Daphnia pulex: one gene and its partners. The protein of the gene in region 3 binds, or shares a complex with, the protein of the main gene of each other region. Links are inferred from orthologs where the notes say so. Each region holds a gene or a part of one and is shown on either strand. Other genes may lie near its edges.

Evidence for each region. Proteins that work in one complex are often made in the same cells at the same time.
Region 1: the proteins of protein prenyltransferase alpha subunit repeat-containing protein 1-like (region 3) and synaptobrevin homolog YKT6-like are in contact, whole or in part, in a crystal structure (PDB 6J7F), measured with the Homo sapiens proteins. The link is inferred for Daphnia pulex from reciprocal best matches to the Homo sapiens genes PTAR1 and YKT6. Residues at the interface, in NP_001093136.1 of Homo sapiens: Glu31, Gly33, Leu34, Ile35, Pro36, Val48, Val50, Glu51, Lys53, Leu54, Gly55, Ser58, Lys135, Tyr191, His225, Ser228, Met229, His230, Val231, Ser232, Asp233, Phe298, Asp301, Leu302, Ser305, Tyr306, His309; in NP_006546.1 of Homo sapiens: Met1, Ser29, Phe30, Phe31, Asn83, Glu84, Pro86, Gln131, Asn132, Pro133, Arg134, Gln180, Phe184, Arg189, Ser193.
Region 2: the proteins of protein prenyltransferase alpha subunit repeat-containing protein 1-like (region 3) and geranylgeranyl transferase type-2 subunit beta-like are in contact, whole or in part, in a crystal structure (PDB 6O60), measured with the Homo sapiens proteins. The link is inferred for Daphnia pulex from reciprocal best matches to the Homo sapiens genes PTAR1 and RABGGTB. Residues at the interface, in NP_001093136.1 of Homo sapiens: Val61, Lys62, Leu65, Pro66, His69, Leu73, Arg76, Leu97, Asn98, Asp100, Phe101, Thr102, Thr103, Asn106, Lys109, Glu110, Leu113, Ile141, Arg144, Trp145, Pro192, Ser193, Tyr195, Ser199, Ile202, Trp203, Gln206, Val231, Ser232, His234; in NP_004573.2 of Homo sapiens: Lys6, Asp36, Tyr37, Cys40, Met41, Glu43, Tyr44, Ile89, Gly90, His91, Asp92, Asp136, Trp138, Glu140, Phe177, Asp178, Gly182, Cys183, Arg184, Pro185, Gly186, Ser187, Glu188, Ser189, His190, Gln193, Trp217, Glu221, Arg222, Pro225.

Annotation. Positions count from the first base shown.
Region 1 is NC_060026.1:12,910,749-12,915,242, forward strand, and holds synaptobrevin homolog YKT6-like, read right to left. Parts: upstream 2,634-4,494; 5' UTR 2,410-2,633; coding exon 2,217-2,409; intron 2,148-2,216; coding exon 2,047-2,147; intron 1,988-2,046; coding exon 1,817-1,987; intron 1,749-1,816; coding exon 1,611-1,748; 3' UTR 1,238-1,610; downstream 1-1,237. Other genes in the region: Golgi apparatus protein 1-like, read right to left, coding at 1-54, 117-218, 278-411, 470-635, 713-934; UBX domain-containing protein 1-B-like, read left to right, coding at 2,961-3,013, 3,102-3,299, 3,363-3,851, 3,913-4,141. UniProt on the Homo sapiens protein: Vesicular soluble NSF attachment protein receptor (v-SNARE) mediating vesicle docking and fusion to a specific acceptor cellular compartment. Functions in endoplasmic reticulum to Golgi transport; as part of a SNARE complex composed of GOSR1, GOSR2 and STX5.
Region 2 is NC_060019.1:10,893,962-10,898,383, forward strand, and holds geranylgeranyl transferase type-2 subunit beta-like, read right to left. Parts: upstream 2,868-4,422; 5' UTR 2,650-2,867; coding exon 2,647-2,649; intron 2,565-2,646; coding exon 2,256-2,564; intron 2,196-2,255; coding exon 2,037-2,195; intron 1,969-2,036; coding exon 1,862-1,968; intron 1,792-1,861; coding exon 1,685-1,791; intron 1,614-1,684; coding exon 1,297-1,613; 3' UTR 1,238-1,296; downstream 1-1,237. Other genes in the region: uncharacterized protein LOC124191180, read left to right, coding at 1-85, 151-298, 370-799; sterol regulatory element-binding protein cleavage-activating protein-like, read right to left, coding at 3,200-4,422. UniProt on the Homo sapiens protein: Catalyzes the transfer of a geranylgeranyl moiety from geranylgeranyl diphosphate to both cysteines of Rab proteins with the C-terminal sequence -XXCC, -XCXC and -CCXX, such as RAB1A, RAB3A, RAB5A and RAB7A.
Region 3 is NC_060019.1:9,416,142-9,420,531, reverse strand, and holds protein prenyltransferase alpha subunit repeat-containing protein 1-like, read right to left. Parts: upstream 2,413-4,390; 5' UTR 2,319-2,412; coding exon 2,212-2,318; intron 2,111-2,211; coding exon 1,171-2,110; 3' UTR 1,078-1,170; downstream 1-1,077. Other genes in the region: mucin-17-like, read left to right, coding at 1-140, 301-467.

The DNA of each region.
Region 1 (4,494 bases), on a different chromosome or scaffold from region 3:
ACGATCATCTCGACAAGCGAGAAAAAGTGGTCGATCCAAATGATAATCATCCGCCTATTAATTTGTAAAAATAACGTAAACTGGCTAATAATATAATGGAAATAAAAATTATTTGCCTGGAGTTCAGCAACCCGCAACGTTTGTAAATGGCATTCTTTAGTCAAATTTCGTACATGCTCCGACAAACATTCAATCGTAGATCCTTGTTTGTGGTCTCTCTATCAATTTGAAAATGACATAAAGAAATGAATTTTAAATTATTGACAAATAGAAATACTTCTTCTTCAGAATCTAGCCGGCCACAGTTGAATTTGGAAATATCATCCTGGCAGGCAGTGGTGAATTTTTCAACCAAGCGAAAATCGCTAAATATGATTGAACCAATTTTCACAAGAAATGATTTGCATTGCCCTGAGTTTAAGGAGATACATTTAAACCATAGTTCTGTCATTTTGCCATCATTTATTACCTTGGGCAACAGAGTCAGAGTTTTCAAGAAGGCAAGAAAGTTTATGGCCTTCAAGCGATTGGTCTTTGCATTCTTCCAAATTTTTCAGCTCTTCAGAGCACATTTTTTCAGCAGCTTCCAAAAATTGGTCACCTTTAGTTAGATTTAGTTTGAACTGCCAAAGGAACTATAAAAAGAAAAAAATTAAAAATGTAACCTTTAATTCTGAAATGAGTACTTTAATAAAATAAAAAAGAAACATACAGAATGACATTCTATTTTGATATCAGAATCACTATCACTTCTCCTGTTTTGAAGGCAGTCAAGAACAGCCAAATCATTTGGAAGAATTTGAGAGCTGCAAAGACGTGTCACGTCGTCTTTACAAACCGGGTTCGTAGCAATTTTTCCGGTGACATCCAAAGCTCCAACCGAAATAAAAGTTGTTAAGGTCACTAATAGAAAACTAACACCTTGGAATAACATCTTCTATTCCAGTCACTACTTATCAGTTGATTTGAAATTTATTTTTAAGATTGAATTAGAGAACAGTCACATCCCACACTTGGTCAGAATGAACATATTCAGGGACCACAGCAGACGTCAGCCGCGTCACACAGTCTACTGTTTGTTCCGCTTTCGCTATCATCTCTCATCTGTTGCCCAAGAACCTTATAGGTTTCTGCAACCACCTTGTTCAAGTACCGCTTAAAAAAAATCTTCTCAGCGGTTTACGTTTGAATCGGTTTGAGCAACAAAACTATATAAACCACGAACGCGACAAATTGATAAATTGATTAAGAAGAATTTATTTCTTTTACATCGATGGACCTGCGGCACAGATGTAAGCTGTGAAATGAAATCATAGAGACGACAATCCATGCAACGTCAGCGAAATACCTAACATTAGCGTCACAATCATTTACGATATGATACATTTATGAGAAACAGAAAATGAGTGCTGTCGCATAACGGGAACAGAGTGGGACAGAAAAGTTCACAGCAATTATTGGGCACCCTTCAAAAATTAAAAATGAATTTATAACTGTACCATATGTCTTTCAATTTCAACTCATTCAGGAATGTGAATTATGACCATCTTCAAAAAATAAAGTAATAGTACCATTCCAAGAATGTGATCAAATAAACATTTCTTGAGAACTTATCCAAAATTGCAACATGAATTTGTTTTTCTAGCTGTTTTATAGAACATTTTTGATGCATCACTCAGTCCTTGAGATTTTGATACAAGGTCATCCAGTTTTTCACCCCTTTGCAATACAGCTTCAATTGTGTTATGCTATGACAATCAAACATGACTGGTTAAAAAAAAATTAAAACAGATTGAAACTTTAAGACTTAAATTACCAAAATAATCTTAGTCTCATCTAGTTCATCTTGAACTTTAGTTAGAGCATCTGCTTCTCTGGGATTTTGATATTTTGCCAAAGATGCTTCTAATCCAGAATAAGCTGCACAGGCAGCATTTGCTTCTATCCAAAGAGATGATTCCACCCGAGCAGCAAAATCATCAAGCACCTTTTGTAATTAAGAATATCTCATCATTTCAATTCAACCAACATACAAGTAGCACTCACTTTGGTTAACAAGGTATGAGCAACCCTCTGTGGGTATTCATGATCTGCCGTCAAAACACAGCAGAGTCCATCTGCTCTCACATAAATGTGACACATATACTCTGCAATAAAGAAATAACATTTAATTTATAATGTACATTGAGTTTTATGATGACTCTTTGCATACATACCTCCTTGTTTCACCGATTGTCTGGACGCAGCACTTGTCCTTTCAGTCAAGATCTTGGCAGTGAAAGCCATAAATTCTTGAACGCTGCTTCGTTGAAAAAATCCAAAACTTGAGAGGTCGTAAGCCGCTCTAAGTAGCTGTGGTGACCCTTGCTCGCTGCGATGTAAAATCGCTAAAGAATACAGCTTCACCATTTTTCTAGATTTGACTAGTAAATATAAGATCCTCCAACAATCGTCTTACTGATAAGTGGAGAGGCCTTTGTTAATTAGTACTAAAGGTTCAAGTGGACGGCTTGAGTTTTTCCTCAGAAGCGGTTAAATCCGATCCGATAGAAGTCTGCAAAAAGTGACAACCAACAAGAGAAAAAGTTCAATAAAACAACGGGAATGGCCGAAGAACCCATTTGTTGCATCGGAATACACCGCCTCTAGCGGATAAACGTAAAATAAGCTGTTTCCCCGCGCTAATTTGGCGCTAATCAGATTGCTAAATTGAATTATAGTTAATTGCAAGAAAGTAAACACTTTTTTAGTAGAATTAATAATAATTTGAGAAATAAAACATTTGGTTTCAATGTAAATTTCAATACAAAAAACACAAAATTTTACAAAAATCTTTGGGGCAAAATCACACCAACAGAAGAGGCTTCATCGTCACTTTTTTAATAACATACTGACATTGCTAGCGCTAGTCGGACGACATACCTCTGTTCTGTTGTTTTTCGAAGAACGAAATACCGAAAATGTCATCAAATCTTCAACTGTTACTAGAAATGGGATTTTCTGAACAGTTAGCGTAAGTTTTAATTCCAAATAATTCATACCTTTTATATTTTTTAAATGGCAACTTAATATTTTGTTATATTTCTTTGAAATTTGAAAAGTGAAAAGGCTATTAAAGAAACTGGAGACCAAAATATTGAAGCTGCAATGGATTGGTTGATTGTGAACAGTGAGAAATTCAATCAACAAACTGACAACAATCAAGAAATGAAAGAGGAAGAACCAAATGCTGCTGCTCAACCTGAAGCATCAAATGCTGAAATGGCTGCTGTTACTGCCAAATCTATTAAATGTGATGAGTAAGTATGGAACTCAAGTCAACCATTGAATTTCTTACATATGTTTTTTAAAATTTCCTCTAGATGTAATAGACTATTTCGCACAAATGAAGAGGTAGAATTTCATGCTGCGAAAACCGGTCACAGCCAGTTTTCAGAATCTACTGATGAAAAGAAGCCTCTCACTGAAGAAGAAAAGAAGGAACAACTGAGGAAAGTGGAGGAGTTGATGAAGTTGAAGCGCAAAGAACGTGAAGAGAAAGAAAAGGCCGAACAACTGGAGCAAGAAAAAAGAAGAATACAGTCAGGCAAGGAGCTTCTCAATATAAAAAAGAAATTCGAAGAGGATGAAATAAGAAAGATTGCCGAAGAACGGAGGCGCGAAAAAGAAGAAGAGAAAAAAGCCAGACAGCGAGTGAAAGAACAAATTGAACAAGATAAATTGGCACGAAAACAGAAAGCCGGTGACGCAACCAATACGCCATATGTAGCTCCTCCAGTTCAGGCTCCGGCTCCGGCACCGACAACACCCAATCAGCCCAAGGACTATAAGGAGACGAAAATCCAAATAAGGTTATAAATCATTCTGGATGACGCAAGTCCCTCTTCCATAACTCTTTATTATTTCTTCCAGACTTCCAAATGGATCGACAATGACGCAAACATTTGGTGCTAAGGAGCAGCTAGCTTCAGTTCGTCTCTTCATTCAAATGAATAGGACCGATGTAAATGCCGGAGTGCCGGAACCATTTCGGATTCAAACAAATTTTCCTAGAAAAGTATTTACCGAAGAAGAGTTCGAGAAGCCACTCGATGTGCTAGGATTAGTTCCAAGTGCTGTTTTGATGGTATCAAAAGCATGAGAATTATAAAAGACTGAAAAACGAATTTTTTTATCTCATCTTGAGATTTAATTTGTATTTGTATCTGATAACAAAGTCGAGCGAGTGAAAGAGTGTGTTGGGGGAGAAAGAGGCGGGTTTCAGAAATAATTACACATAAGATTGTAAGAGTCACGAAGTTACTTAATTTTTTTTCTCATCTTTTGAAATTTGATGTTTGCACGATTTGATAGATACCTACACCTGTTTCTCATCACCTTCGAATGATTGTTTTATTATTCCTACTAACAAATCGCGTATCACCCGCCGTTCCATTAAGGTTATAGCGGTTTTTGTTATACCTGTCTAGGGCTCGTTATTACAACATAATGCTA
Region 2 (4,422 bases), about 1.5 Mb from region 3:
CCATTCGTACTACAAATGGCTGTGGTTATTTATCGTGATAGTTTGGGACCACCTGTCCGTCTTTGTTGGTTTGGAAATCCCATAAGTAAATTTCAGTTATTCGTCTTCTTCCTGCAATAATAAAATTAACACACATGGATTATTTTTCAGTCAAACATTTACTGAGCACACCGAACGTCATTCTGGTGACGGCCAATTTGATTTTCTTCATTCCAAGCGCTCTTAAAGTTCATGGAAGTCTCCGTTTCCTTAAAACTTCTGTTTCGCCCGTGGCTCTCAGCAAATTGGAAAAACAAAGGTTATATCTAAATATGAATAGTTTCATGGTGATGTAACAAATGTTGCTTACCGTTCCTTTTTTTTACGCAGGATTACGACGATATTCCGTTTCTTCTTACTGATGCAGTTTTACACGATACCGAGAATCGTTCACGAAATAGTCGATTCAGACAATGCCACTCCCGAATTGCTCATCTTCAGTATTTCTCTCTACATGTTGATCGGACCGGCCATGTTTTACTTTTTCGTTTGCAAAACCGAAGTTTACAAAATGATTAGGGACCGTGTGGTCAAAATCAAGGAATCTGCTTCACGTGCCACCAGTAATTCGACAAAAATATCTTCGGGCTCCGTGAAGTTCTGGCGCTCACGATCATACCAAACTTCTTCGGATGAATCTCCTGCAATTGAGACCAGCGATTCCAAGCCCTCAAACATTGAGGCAATCAAATATCAACAAAATGGAGAAGACCTTGGAGAAGACAATTTAGCATATACAGGCGAGGTTCATTCAGCCTAAGATTTGGATGGAAAATATGCCAATTAAAGATGCGCGAAAACATACTCGTGGTGATTGGTACAAAAAGTGGTTATTGTGTTGAATAGACTATCATTGAGCTTTCTAGAAATATTGACAAATTTTATATTGCAATCCACTTGATGAAAAATAAATTATGTTTAAGAATAGTTGTCACTTACACTTTTTGAAGGCGTATTTCTCAGAAAATAAAATTTCTTCCACTGAACCACCTAAAATATTTAAAAACAAAAGGGTTGGAACATCCCTTTAATCTCTGGTCAAAAAGGGAAACTAAAAAATCAGGTAAATTAGAGTTAAACGGATACCAAACACGTTGAAATTTGTTTTAAACCAACATTGTAATGGAAATACTGGTGCCGAAAATAGATTACGTTTTACGCATGACTTGTTCAGTAGTTTGCATGTGTTAGATGTCGATTATGCAAAAACCTTTTTTGTATTCTGAAGGACAATTAAAGCAATAATTCATAAAGTTGCTATAACGACAACATCTGTGGTTGAATTTTCAGCCGGGAAATAACTTGCTGTGGCATACAGAATACAGGATTAATAGTTTTAAGACTAGATTCACCGAGAAGAGATAAACCCGCTAAACCAAAGAGGGTGTGAAATGGATCGGGCATGTCATTTGGGCGATCACTAAATCCGCCTGTCTCGACGTCTTGACAGGCCATAATAAATTTTCTCAACTGATTCTTATCAAGCCAATCAACTCGCCCAATAATCCGCAAAGACGCAACTACCCACCAAGAGTAGCAAACATCCGGCAATTTTTCTGGTCGACCATTCAAACCTAAATAACAATTGAGTTACATAGTTTAAGAGACGTCTATTTGAAAGATTTCTAAAAACAAAAGTAATTACCGCCACTCGGCAACTGCCGTTCACATAGCCACCAGCCAAGGCTATCAGCTTTGATCAAATGTAAATGACCTGTAATCGACAGCATACCAACACAGCAATACACTTGACTGAAAAGGTAACCACAAAAAAGAAACAGTATTATTTCTTCCTTTGTAATTATCTCAACTTAGAACTTACCCAGAATGACTTTCAGAGCCAGGTCTGCATCCAAACCCTCCATCAAAATTCATACATGAGATTACAAAATTTACTGCATTATCAATATTAATAGCATCCAGCCTTCCCTGGAGTAAAAATGTGTACAAAAATATGTGTTAATCATAAAAAAATTGCAATCAGTAAATCCACATACCAAAAGAGCCAAGCATGCAACTGCACACATAGAGAACCTTGTATCAACCTCACCCCATTGATCACCACAGAAACTTCCGTCATCATTTTGCAACTTTTTGACATAATTCACAATTTTTTCACAATCGATTGCATCAAGTGCATCATACAGGCACAAAATCTGAAGAAAAAAAATTCAATTTTCAGATGCATATGAAGTGAGTCAACTCTCATTACCAACCTGAACAGCACTCAAAGTGTAGAGAAGGTGAGGATCATGATCTACACTAGCTCCTATACCTCCATTTTCATGCTGGCATTGCTTTATAAATAAAATAATACCATCTCTGTCCATCTCACCAAGTTTGCCCATCAAATCCATTGCTGTTAAACTCCAATAGATTCCATTCATTCTCAAGTACTCTGTCATACAAAATTCATAATCATCCTTATTGTTTCCATATGCTGCCAAGAAACTTGCATGCTTTGGCAGCAACAGATTAGGTATATCAGCCTCCTTCGGTAGCACTATGTCGTTCATGAGAAGGGCCTAGTTCACATGTTCAAATAAACCATTTATCATATCAAAACTGAGACCGGCTTCCTCAAAATAATCATCTAAATATACGTACCATAATTGAAATTATATCTGTTACGCGGGAATGGTTAAGGGGTAGCAAGGGGTAGTGGATAATAGGTTCCAAGCTATCCAAAAATTATGGATTGGTGGATTTTCACTCTTAACAATGAAATTAAAAATTTATTTTGCAAACACAGGCACACAGACCACTTTGACGTAAGTTAAGCAGCATGAGCAGCTGACTGTTAAGGGGCTAGCAGACGGATCTTTTTCGATGCGACAGTAGCGCCATCGAAATTATAAGACATAATGAAGATTTTTAATTTTTTGAAGACACCATTTTTACGTAAATGAAGTCATGATCTCTAGGATAAACAAATTCCAATGAAAAAAAGTCGGTTTATTCAATCGGCAACAGTTTTGGTATGTTTTGTTGTAGAATTCAATAGCCTCTATGTTGTCATCCACAAACCCAATCACATGTGACACGCTAAAGTAAAAGAAAAAAAGAGAATCTGAAAAAGACAATGAAAAAGGCTGAGGAAAAAGGGGGAAAAAAAGGGAAGGAAAAAGACCAAAAAAAGCTAACAATTTTTCACAATAATTTACTCGACTTTGTGGGTGGAAATCATGGGGAAAGAAACGATGCGAAGCTGCGTTCCGTAGTCACAGATGACGTTGTCTCTGACGACCATGACGTTACGAACAAAAGTACTCGAGTCGGCATCGCCAAGACGAACTTCACGGATCGATTCTCCCGTTCGGACATCCCAGACGACCAGGGATCCTTGCCGACTGGTGACAAGTAACCGATCATTGAGCATAGCTAAACTGCCGCACAGAGCCAGACGGGACAAGGAAAGAGAATTGAGCAGATGACCCTGAAATCGCTCCCAAACGCACAGCTTGTCATCGGCGCCCAAGCTGATGACGTACGAGGAGGTGTAAGTCAGGACGGACACGCTACCGTCATGAGCCTGCAAACTGTAGACGCAAGTCCCGCTGGAGAGATCCCACATGCACAGCATTCCGTCTTGACTTCCGCTTCCCGATGCGCTGCAGGGGTAAGCTTCGTCGATAAACATGGCCGTGATGGGTCCGCGATGCCCGTGAAGACAGTAGAGGGCTGTCAAGGTTTCCAGTCGCCAGACTTTGAGGCAATGATCCAGCGAACCCGTAACGACGCGGCTGCCACTAGCCGAAGCGTCCAACACTGAGATGGGCTGTTGGTGAGCTCTAGCCCAGTTGAGCCGGACCAAACGGAAAGCTAATGGAGATGATCGGTCCTCTTCGTCGTACTCGTCGGCGCCACGACGAGAATGAACGTGGTGGCTGACATCTTCCACAGGACTGTCGAAATCGGCGTGAAACTGGAACGACTCCAGGACTCCATTCAATCGGGCAGCTAGAAGATACTCGCCACAAACTTTGAGTTTGGCCACTCCGACACCACTGCCGTCGTCGTAAAGACAACGCAAACCGGAATTATGGCTCCAAATTTCAATGCGTCCGTTGGCACAGCCCAGTGCCACTTGGCCATCGAAGCATTGCATGCACCAGACGGGCGATGGAAAGTAAGACGTTTTATTATTTCTCGTTGGACTAGTTCTGTCTTTCCAAGACAGGTTGTTAGGGCTGGCCGGAGGAGAATGAAACGAGCCCGGGGATCTAAATACAATCGGATTAGAAACGGCGTGACTCAACAGTCCGCCCAGTTCGTTAGTGGATGAGTAAGTATCGTGGCGTGGAAAATTGGGAGAGGCCGGCGACGTTTGTTGCTGAAAAGCGGCGAAATAAGTGTTTCTATCAATTTGAGCTACGGCATCTC
Region 3 (4,390 bases):
CAATGATGAAGACCTTGGTCGTGGACCACCTGTGCAAGCGACGCTGGTTAAGGAGGGCGCCGGACTGGGATTCAGTTTAGAAGGCGGCAAGGATTCACCGCTGGGAGATCGTCCGCTCACCATTAAAAAGATATTCACCGGTAATCATTAGCGATGATGAAGATGAGATGATGATGAAGACGAGAGAAGAAGAAAAGAGGCATATCCTATGCAAATAATACGAATTACAGAGTTCATATGTTTTTTTTTTTGAAAAAATCATTTCTTTATCCTTTCTTTTTTTGATTATGGCTTTGGCAGGGGGTGCGGCCAGCAAGAACAGCACACTGCGCGTTGGCGATCAAATCATTTCAGTCAACGACTGCGATGTGAGGTCCATGTCGAGGATAGAGGCCTGGAATTTGATGAAGAAGCTGCCCGACGGCGCCGTCTCCCTTATCATACGTCAGCAGATTACATCCTCGTAAAAAGAGCGGAGGAGGACGACGACACGAAGAAGGAAGAAAGAGGGAATATTATACAAATAATTAAAAAGGATTAAAAAACAAAAACAACAAAAAAAAAACAAAAATAATAATGCAACACACAACACACTTTCACGACGACAAACCGGTGCACCTCCTTTTCTTCTCCCTACACACACACACACATACACACACACACATTTCTTTTTTATTGTTAGCTTTCTCTCCTCTTTCTTGTATGCAACTGCGGAGGTAATTTAATTAAAGGTAATCTGGCGACCGTCTTTTATCGCCTTCGACTCTACGCAATCTCCTCTCTTTTTACGATGATCCTTTTTTTAAGTTATTTCTCCTCCACCCAGTTTTATACTAGCATTATAGTTGATCTCTTGACTGCTTCTTTTCTTGATTCTCTTATTATTATTATTTTTTTTTTACACTTGAGGTGTTGGGCTCGTCTCCTATTCAATTTGTATATACTTAATACGTATACCAATTCACCAAGTTTTATAGCTTCAAGCCTTCAAGCCTGGATTGCGTGGTATTTTTTATCTGAATTACTGTAATGAAACAACGATTACAAGCTGAACGAAATAAATAAACCGTATCTCTGTTTAAATAGTTTAACCGTCTTGGATGATGGTTTTTATTATAGTAACCTTTATACACAACAAACGGATCCTAAATCAGCAGCATTAGTCAAATTTTACAAACAGAAATCAGACAGCCATCGTCGATGATGCTCCAAATATCTCATTTGAATGGCGTCGACATTGTTGGCGGAGTTGCTATTACTTTTAGCGGGATTGCAACACTTTTCGATGAAGAGACTCTCTGAATGATCTATTGTCCCGGCTTGCAAAAGGAATCGACGATAGTACCACAACGTTTCATGGGCGTTGAAACTTAAGATCAAATCTTGGTTCTTTTGCAGTTCTTCGTTCAGCAGGTTCATGTAGAGCTGGGAAGATGTAGCTGTACCGGTTGAGTCGCCCAATACCTTCCGGGCGATATCCATGTTCTGTTCAATTTTGCCTAAATTTTGCCTGAAATGATCAAGGAGGAATTTTCGATAATGCCAACCGCTATGGTCGGACAAGTGAAACTTTGTCCAAACGTCAGAAATCTCGAATTCAGACGCCCACAGATTGAGATTGAAGCCTTGCAGCTTGAGGGAGTGAGAATACACCCACTGTCTGTGAGACCAAGCGTGGTAGTTGCATTTCATGCGACTGGAGAGCCTATCACACAGAGACAATTCTGTCTCCACCCATTGTGGGTCTATAGACACTTGCTGGAGTAGCCAACGCCTGTGAGAAAGTGCTTCAACGCATTTGGGCTTTTGACTTAGTACTAATTTGCTGAGCAGGAAATCACAATCGCCATCCAAGAGATGATTGGCAATCAATCTCTTTCTCGTGTTCCACAATGTAGCTATGTTGGGATTAAGCAATAATGCCACTCTTGTGTATCTTTCCAATCTCAAATACTCCTTTTTCCACATGGGATCCAATTTGAAACTGTTTTCATAGCAGTACATGAAAACCGTCTTTACACACCAAACTTCAATTCCAAGATTGTGAGAAATATGGATGATTGGTGATCGATTTTTGGCTTCTGTTACTGGAACAACATCAAACTCATCTCTGTCAACAAAAATATAATGAATATAAAAACTAGTGTTTACAAACAGTTGGTGTTGATCACCATAAAGGATGTTGCAGAAAAACCATTAAATTATACTTACAAGTTGGGATCTTTTTTCATAACAGCTTGAAGGTCTGATATTATCCTTTCTTCTAAACAGTAAGGATCGTGAGCCATTTTCTTATAGTCGGAAGGATCTCGCTGCATCCTTCAAAATCTGTCAAAAACAGCCGTTAAATTCTCAATTTTTTCTTTTTCTTTTTTCGACTGCATCATCGATTATTGCCCAGAGTAGTTCAAGTGGCGCTAGTAAACAGAAGCTCTGCCCGCTCTGGTAATCGCAATTTGTAGTATCGATTTTTAGTTATTTATCGATATGTTATCGTCGGCTTCAGACTTTAGATTGAAACCAAACCAAATGCCTCCATCCATTTGCCTTTGAGACAGCGGACGGAATCGTGTTGCAGCTTCATGACGGTGTTTTACTGTTTTTCGCTTTTACATTTTAAAGATGATGAGATATAAATATCCACGCCATTCGACCAAGCTGAATCGAAAGAGAACAATTCTAAAGCAAGTAAGTGAATCGTGAGAGTTTTAAATTTTTGAAAGGTCCATTTTCTAATCTACGTCAATTTATCTTGTGAAAGCATGTCGGAAGATGTTCTGCATTTCTCCACGTGATCGCTGCCTTGTCATGAACTATGAAGATGCTTCTTTGAGAGGGTCATATGCCATTTGCAAGACAAAAAAATGTGATGAAAAGTGGAAATCTGAAAAGGTAATATTGTACTTGTAAGTTAATCAGGTAGGTTAGCAATGTTGTTCTTAATGTTGGAGACAAGTGACATCATATTCCATGCTTCTAAATAAGAGCTTTTGTGGAAAGTTCTTTTAAATTAAGTAAATTTGTGGAGAGTTGTAAATTTTTATTCATGTTACGGAACAGAAATCCACTTCATTCTTTAAAACTTAATTTGGTCTTCGGTCATCTTCTAGTTTAGTGTACATTTCAAGTAAATCATTGGCTTAACTAACTACTAAGTGTTTGAATCATTCATTTTACAGTTGTAAGCCAAAGTTAAACATGACTTGCATGTATTTTTGGTTTTTCTTTGCAAATTTTATTATCAATATTTTTTTCCTTTTCCACCGGAAAATGTTATTGATGTGTTAATGTTACTTTCCTTTGTAGGATTACATGGTCAGTTTGGTGTTGCTGTTCGTTGTGCAGTGGTTTTGCTGCCCTTTTCCAGTTGAGGGATGCACTTCAATGGAGCTTGTGCAGACTTGCAGTTAAACATATCATACTTCAATGTGTTATAATGCATATGCAGTGCCTCATATAGCACTGGGCCAAATTGTTTGAGGACCTTGCCTGACGGCCGTTGATTTTGTAGATGTCTTCACTTGCTGCCTGTACTGGCTGTACGCCTCATGCCAAAGCAAAAGTAATTATGTGGATTAATTAGACAGCTGTGTAACTTTTTAAATATTATACCAAAAGATTTTTAATGATTTTGCATAATTTAAATATCTACTGTTGCAAATGTTTCGTCACCCGAGTTATGTTCTTTAATTATTATTTTTTTGTTTTAACAGCTTTCGGTGGAGATCAACTAATTCATTGCCGTGCTACTGCAATTACGGTGTTTTGTTGCAGCCAGCTGGTGAAAGGTTTGACCAATTAAAATTGAGCTGCTGCATGCTGTCTGTGGTGCCGTTGTTATTGTTGCACCAAGTTTGAATGTTGATAATGTTGATTTTTACTGGCTTGTAATATTTGCGACTATTTGTCATTTGTGTCTCCGACTATGCAGATTGAAATAAGCGAGAACTGTCAGAAGAAAAAGCTTTCTGCGCCCAAAAAATATCAACTTTGTGTCAACGTGGTTAAGTAAGCAACAGGCTTTCTTATGTAAGAATCATAATTTAAAAAAAATATTGTTAACTATAACAAATTCCAATAATCACTTTTACATTAATATTAAATAAACAATCCGTTCAGTACATATTGTAGTCGACTCCCCCTGACTTGATTGATTGGACCAGGTATATTACCCGGTCGTGGACAAGAGTAACGGGTAAAAGAGCGAAAAGTTGTGTAACAGTTATTACGAGAGCGATTAATCATAAAAAGCTGCCTTAGACTCATGACCCTCCAAAAGTATTCATCGAATCATGCGCCTTGCAAGTTCGATCAGCGCACTCCCTTCCTCCTGGTTGTCGCAGCGAGTGAGTGACCACCGGCGGCCGTTGGCTAGTGGTTAGTTAGGGAA